Ovis aries: one gene and its partner. The protein of the gene in region 2 purifies or fractionates together with the protein of the main gene of each other region. This does not show direct contact. Links are inferred from orthologs where the notes say so. Each region holds a gene or a part of one and is shown on either strand. Other genes may lie near its edges.

Region 1 (4,080 bases), on a different chromosome or scaffold from region 2:
TCTAACAGTATCGTGTGATTTAGCCTCAAACGTAGCTTGTTTCACATGTGTCCCTGTTTTTCTGTAGCTTTGTTTAATCAAAAATATTTGCCCACCCCCAAATTCAAAAGGAGCCACACCTGAGGGTAAGTGACTTAAAAATACTCCCAACATTTATTACGTAGATGTAAGAATTCAACTTATATTTAATTTTGAAGCTATAATGTGGTTGACCATTTTACGATACGGTCTACCACAAGTTAAAAGTGGACAGAAATCAGTAATTGAAACATGTAAAAATTGAATTTGAAAACAGTATTTTAATTAAAAGGCACTTTTACAGTTAAAGTTCCCAAAACATGCTTTTGTAAATTAAACTATGAAATATAGCTTTAATTTATGGTATGTGATACATTTAAGCATCACAAGATAAAAACTATAAAACTTCTAATTATACACAATAGTTAGACTAATATACTCCTATACACTTAAAACAATTATATAGACCACCCATAACCCTAGTCTCATAAGATTCCTCAGAACTACTTATACAGAATAAAACTCACTCTGAACAAGTCACTGTTCAATCTACCTTCACTAAGCATCGAAAAGCCAACTCAGCTTTCAACAGTAATAATTTCTTCTACAACTATAGAAAGAGAATGTTCTTCCTTCTCTAGACTGATTGTTCTAAGCTAAGACTTTAGGAAACAAAACAACCGAAATATGTTCTTTTTCCAATGCAAGAATAAACAAAATTGAAGACTTCACTAGTTCCTAATCCAATATTTTAAAATGGTCATGTTTGAAAGACAAAGAACTCACAGCAGATAAGCCTGTTGTTTTCAAGAAAACAAAACAATTTTTATGAAAACTATCTTTGATTAAAAAAAAAAATCCCGAACAGTCACAACTAGCCTATCGGTTAGAGTGCACCTTTCAAAGGTGTTACTAATTAACATGTGACTAATAACCATTCAATGAAGCACTAATAAAGTAACATAATTAAATCAAAAGTGTAACTGTCCTTAAGAAGTTCCTTACATCTCTTATTCAAATCATATCCAGCACAGACATTTTAAAAAAAGACACATAAGAAGAAAAATCTGAGTTATCTAAACCTTCATAATATATTTTAGAATAATTATATATTATTTTTAAATTTTTTCTAAAATTGGTCAGGGCCATAACTGTAGATTTTAAGTGAGGTCAGCCGGGAGAGAGAGAGAAACAGAAAATAAGTGGAAGTATAACATAAAAACTTCCACAAGAATAAAAAGTTGTTCAACTCTACCCTCGAATTTTAAAATAAATACTCTTATGCGGGGCGGGGGGAGGGGGGAATGGGTGAAGGAGAATTCCCATAGACTATTAAAAATACTGAACCAAAATATGCCTCAACTTTTCCCTCGTCTATAATCTAACAAAACGAGAAGACAATGAAAATAAACACTCCTGTGTGCCCTCAGAGAGGCAAAGAAAGCTCCCATTCAAAGCTAAGCCGTATTCCACTCTTGTAAAGTAAATCCAAAACCACGAGCTCAAACTGCTTCATGCAGAATTTACTGAATGGCGGCCAAACGTTGTACACTCTGTCCTGAACCACAGCGAAGGATATCTCGAGCTCTGCATTCTCCATTTACAACTTGTACCTTACTATGCATGCTTTCACCACCACTGCAGAAACCGATTTTTAAACTAAGATGTTCCTCCCGGCCAAGTCAATGGAAAGAAGGCAATCTACCCGCTGGCGACACTCCCCACCTTCCCCACCCACCCCGCACCCCAAGCAATACTAGTTTTTGACTCCTATACTGCGGTCAGCACACCTTAAAAAAAAAAAAATCATTATGGGAGAAGGCGTTACAAAGCCCCCGGAGAACTGAATTACCGAACCCTGAAACAACTTTTCAGTGGCTCTCACCTGGCACTTGGGATAATCACCTGTTGGAACGGCGCTGCCCCGGTCCCCTCTTACCGGCAGTCGAGGGCGGGGAGGCCGTGTTCCCAGTCACTGGTCCCCCTCCCGGGGCGGCAGGTGAAAGACGGGGAACGCGTATATCCACACCCACCGCCCCGGGAGCGCAGACCGAAAGCCGGGGACCGCGGCTGCGGCGGGACGCTCCGTTATCCCTCCCCTCGGCGGGCCCGCCAGGTGAGCGAGGCTCCATCGCGGCCGCGATGCGTCCCGGCGCACGGCTCACCGCCGGCCCACTTCTCCCGCCGCCCGGGCCCGGGAGACCGAAGTTTCTCTCCCGCTCGCGGCGGCCGCGGCTCACGGGCCGCCTGGCTCTCGGGCGCCGGGCCGCGGGCGAGTCGGGGGCCGCCGAGACAGGAGCCGGAGCCGGGACCTGTTACCCAGGGCGGGAAACCAAAAAAAAAAAAAAAAGCCGAGTGAGGACCAGCGGGGCGCGACCGGCCTCGTCTTCCCAAGGGAGAGCGCGGCAGGGGCGGGGAGCCGCTCCCGCGGCCGCCCGGCTCCGCGCCTCCCGGAGGCGAAGGGAGCCCCGGCCCCGCTCGCCCGGCGGGGCGCAGAGGATTCCCGCGGGGGAGCCTGGGCGCCTCCAGCGCGCCCGCTCCGAGGCGTCTCGGCGCCGCCCGCCCCGCAGCGCGGTTCCCGGGCTGGGGCGCCGCGTGAGGAAGCGGCACAGCGGCGGCAGGACCGCGAAGGAGGGAACGCGGCTCCCGGGGCCGGGCGGCCACCCCGCCTCATCCCCCCCGTGGCCATGGCGCCGGTACCTGTCGCCGTGGCGGCTCGCCCGTTCTGTCGCTCTGCCTCAGCCGCGCGCCGCCAGCCCCTCAGCCCGCCCAGCAGGCCGCCAGCGCGCCGGACGCCGCCGCCGGAGACTGGCAGCGCCCGCGAAGCGGCCAGAGTCCCCCCGGGCAGCGCCCGGCGCAGTCCCGCCCCCGCGGGCCGCAGGACCCGCCTCCCATAGGGCCCCGGGGCTGTCAGTCCGCCCCAAAAGACGCGCGGGCTGTCGCTCCTCCTATCCCGATTGGCGGCCGAACGCCGTCCATGCAAATAAGGCCCCGCCCCCGGCCATTTGCACCTCCGCCTTGGTGTAACCTCCGCCTCCCCCACGCCAGCCCACGTGTCTGGCCCTTGCCCCTTTGTGGGCGCTGTAGGGAAGAGAGGGAGGAAACTGAACGACGCCCCCTCACTCCATCCCTTACCTCCGGGGAAACTAATGCCCAAGCAAGCTAGTGGACTTCACATTGGGACCTCTCTCTGACAGTTCTGCCCTCCTGTCCGCCCACCCGACCTGATTCGCGGAAGGAGAGGGGCAGGCCAGGCTTGTTTGCGTCAGGTAAGCAAGCTAGGTTAGCCCCGGGAAACAATACCAGGGGAACTGGTATTGTCCATTTGGAACTGGGGGGAAAAAATCCCATCTGGAGAAACCATAGCACGTAGCACTTGCCTCTGGACACTCAGGGACTGTTAAGACTAGGCTTTCCCTCCGTCTTCTACCTTTCAAACATGAGATCCCAGGTGACTGAGACAGCAGAGGATTTCTGTGTTTTCTTAAAAGATGTCTGTGTTCTCTGCCGCCTGCCAACGGGTAGGTCTGCTGAGCAGCTGGACTTCAGGAGGGGGCTCAGGGCCCCTGGAGTGTAATGGCCAAACCAAGATTGGGATGAAGGGGACTGAGCTAGCAGCTCCTGGGCCTTAGGGAGTGGCTCGCTCAATCTCATTCTTGAGGAAACAGGAACCTGAAGTCCCACAACTGTGGAGCTTAATAATCACCTATTGAAACCTAACATCTCCTAACTCCACATCTGGCCTCAACACTATATCACCTAGGGTCATTTAGGTATTTATGAAGAGTTTCTTCTGCAAATAACCATCCCTGCCTTCAAGAGGTGCCACCTGCAGAAACAACCACTAGAGCTGACGCTGAAACCTCCTCAGTGAGGGCAAAGGCCCTGCTTCAGGGCCTAGAAGCTTACCTTTTTACCAGATGCCAAAGAGTGTCACTGAAACAGTTTATTTGTGCATTAATTCTGCATACTAATGCCAATCGTTTAAGCATCTACTGTGATTTTAATGGGGCTTCTCAGGTGGCGTGCTAGTGGTAGAGAACCCACCTGCCAAGGCCCGAC
Region 2 (3,618 bases):
GACCATTTAATTAGTGTCTGATTCCTCTACTAGATTAAGCTGCCAGAAGATAGCATTCCTGTATCTCCCAGATCTAACCACCTACATAGTAGTTGCTCAACTAATGGATTTGCTCTACTCCAAATTTATAATTCAGCATAAGGTCAACTTGAGGATTTGTCCTTACTGTAATTTGAGTATTTAATTATCTTTCTTGCTTATGCTCTATCTCCAGGGAAACCAATAGAGCATCTTAGAGAAAGCCCTGGGAGCTGAGCTTCAAAAATGCTGTAAACAAGGCTTTTTTCCCACTCAAGTTTCACCTTCCAGGATCTCTTCTCTCCTTCTTCCCATTCCAGAATTCTGTGCTCACCACCGTTGGAGCCTATTTCCAACTGGGCTTTTCTGCTTGCAAGGGGCTGCTGTATCCCTCAAAGAAAGAATCCTTAATTATATATTTCCGTTTCTATAATTACAATTTCCAGGTCTTTTATGTATACAGGGTACCCAGAGCCATGGTGGAGGGGTGGGCTGGGGGCTGAATGATGGAATGCTGAAGTTTTCCCTTCATCTTAGTCACGGGACAGGTAACAGTTTCAGTGTGGGGGTTATTTTTCCATTTCCATCAATTTTACTAGTCCCAGGAAAATTCTATCTGAAATTTTTCCAGCCATCTCCTTTTCTTTACTTTTCTTCTTTCCCTCTTGACTTTTCAGAAATGAGGCCTCTGGAGAAATTCTCTGTCTCTCTCACTTTTCCAGGCTGGGCAGGGCTCCTGAAGCAGAAGATCTGGCCTCCCAAATGCTGAAGGGCTTTCCGAGAGACCGTGTCTCAGCCCAGGATGCGTTGGTCCACAATTATTTCAGTGTCCTGCCAGCTCAGCTGCACCAGCTTCCAGATGGTGAGCGAATGAGTGTGTGTGTGTATGTGTGTGGTGGCTGGGGGTGGGGTATACATGGACACACATAAGTCTTGGTGTCTGTTTTCTTGAAGCACTGGAGAAGCATAGAATTTGCAACCAGAAACATGCTTAGAGCTGGGAAAAGCAAGATGGGACAAAATCTTGCCCAAGTTTTGTTTGTGGTTTTCTAAAACTCAAAAGCTGAGGGTTGAGGTGACACAGGCCTCCTTGTAACCATCCAAACATTTCCTCTATACACACACTTAGAAAGTAGAAGAGATGAAAGTTGCCTTTCAGTTTGCTTTCCCTAGCATCTGCCAGGAGAAGCCAAACCTAAGTTTCTAACAATCCCCTTTTCTCTTTCCGTTGAGTAAGATGATAGGTGACATGGATACAACAGGAGAGGAGAGCTGGGCCTGCCTTGATTGGTAATCTGATGCTGCCCGAGGAAGTGCGGGTGGGGCATGGTGAGAGGGGAGCATCCTCCCAGGCTAGATGCGCCCGGAAAGCACAAGTTACTCAGAAATCAGCCTTGCTGCCCAGGCCTGAAGTCATCCTCCAAATCTGAAAACTGCTGAGGGATCATGTGGCTGGAGCGCTCCTCATGTTTCTCAGAATGTGGCAAGGAAGGGCTGTGCGGAGGTTGTGGGTACTGCAACCACGGCCCTGGCTGTTTGCCTGGGACCCTCCTTAGGTGGGGTTGCTTTCAAAACACCCACCATTCAAGTGAAAACAGTTTTTAGAAGTCCTGAGCCAGAGAAAAGAAAGCTAAGGAAGGTTGTAGGGGCTCTGACTGAGAGGAGGGAACTGGGATGGGGTGTGGTCACGAACTACTGTCCAAGAGGCTCAGATATGGGGTCTGACTGATGTCTCCAGGATTTGCAGGCACAGCTCCATACCTGGGATGTGATTTTGCATCCGTCCAAATCTTTTAATTTGGGGTTTCTCGAGGTATTTTATTATTAAAGTGAGTCATTTAGAATCTCTAAAAATAACCGTAATCATACAACCAAGGTTAATGTCATACTTAACCCTGTAAGAAGAGTCGATCATCAGTATTTATTAAGTTGCCATTAAGTGTCAAGAACATATTAAGTGCTATAACATTTGAGGGAAAAAGGAGGCTTGTCCTTGACCTCAAGGAGCATATGAAGTGGGAGGAAAAGAGGGTGAGGAAGAGGAAACAGGACACCCTCGTACACATATTAGCACAAATCATATCTAAACAGCTAAAGTCTGTGCATAATCAGCTACAGATGTTCAGAGAGTACGTGTGCACTGAAGGCAGTCCTCGGAGGAACCGCTGTAGAATAACTCCAGTGAGACAGATGAGACTGGAGGTGACTCCGGACAGGAATTTGGAAGAAGGGGAGGGACACGGTTTGGCATATGGGTAGACTAAGAGACATTCCAGGCGACTTAACAATTCTTACTCCCTTCTTGGTACCTCCTCCCAAGCTTAATCCCCATCCCCCACTCCTATCTTAATACCCTCTTCCCAGTCTGAGCCCCAAGATTCCCCCTTCTTAGCCTTCTCCTCTTGAGAATGGGACTTTTCTAACTCCCACTTCACGCAAATATACACACTGAGGGTGCGCACACACACATTCACACCCTTTCTCTCCACTTAACAACATATCTCCCATGGAGAGACATAGATAAAGAAATAAATATAAATAAACCCTCCTCCAGGATTTATTATTCTAGGTCCTGAGAACTACTGAGGACCTTCAGAGTTTTCTGGGTGCCAGCTTTTCCTTTAGAGTAATTAGCAGGAAACAATCGCTGTGCAAACGGGATGTGTTTGTTAGAAACTCGGGTTTTGATTATTCCTGGTCATCTGAAGCAAAGTCGCCAACAGAGGGGCTCCATTGTACGTGTGTGTGCCTGTGTGTGCGTACACACGCGGGCACAGGAGAGGGACCCATCTGTATTCCTCCTCTGTTCACCCAGCCACAGAGCCCAAATCTACTTTGACACTTTTAGAAAAATGAAAAGATGGAATCTTGCAGGAGCCTGCCTGCGCTGAGGGGGGAGATGAGGAGTGCTCACAGCAGGAGGGAAGTTGACTTTTCTTTATACATATAGGGGTTTTTCCATGCAGAGTTTAAATTATGCCTGATAAAAGGAGTTTCGTGGATGTTTCAGTTCTTTCAAATTCTCCTGGCTTCCTCCCAATTAAATGAGGTTTGTCAAAGCCACAGGGCTCTGCTGCTGCTGCCTCGGCCGACAAGCACTTCCTGCAGCGACATCTCGAATCCCCAAGGGAGAAGATGAAAGGGCCAGCACCAAGAGACAGGGGAAGGGGGGCAGATTGTGTGTGTGTGTGTGTGTGTGTGTGTGTGTGCACGCGTGCACGCGCGCTTGGGGGAGGGCAGTGTGCAGAAACAGGTTTAGATACAGACTGACAGACAGGACGTGGACAAGAAGATGGGGAAAGCACAACTAACTACCAGGGAAACTGGAAAGAAAAATTGAGGAAGAGAGAGCAGCACTGAGGCCAGTTTGGGCACCCTGAGAACAGTGGCTGTCACCACGTGTGACATGATGTCACCATGTCTTCTAAGCGTGCCCTCTCTTGGCCTGGCAGTGCCAGTCTATGTTTTCATTGTTCATGGCAATGAGCCTTTATTAAGGGCCTCCTTTGCAGATAGGGTGCACCAACGGGTCCTCTCAGTTCCCAACCCTCAGGGACCCAGAGTCCCCATCCCAGGGGCGGGCTGCTCCAGGCGTAAGGA

What was found.
Region 1: the proteins of CDK15 (region 2) and FKBP5 purify together in Homo sapiens (affinity purification with mass spectrometry; 3 studies listed by BioGRID and IntAct, counting the BioPlex papers as one, with this or other methods). This does not show direct contact. The link is inferred for Ovis aries from reciprocal best matches to the Homo sapiens genes CDK15 and FKBP5.

What each region holds. Positions count from the first base shown.
Region 1 is NC_056073.1:9,818,949-9,823,028, forward strand, and holds the start of FKBP5 (peptidyl-prolyl cis-trans isomerase FKBP5), read right to left. Parts: upstream 2,829-4,080; 5' UTR 2,719-2,828; intron 1-2,718. UniProt on the Homo sapiens protein: Immunophilin protein with PPIase and co-chaperone activities. Component of unligated steroid receptors heterocomplexes through interaction with heat-shock protein 90 (HSP90).
Region 2 is NC_056055.1:204,182,086-204,185,703, forward strand, and holds part of CDK15 (cyclin-dependent kinase 15), read left to right. Parts: intron 1-740; coding exon 741-880; intron 881-3,618. UniProt on the Homo sapiens protein: Serine/threonine-protein kinase that acts like an antiapoptotic protein that counters TRAIL/TNFSF10-induced apoptosis by inducing phosphorylation of BIRC5 at 'Thr-34'.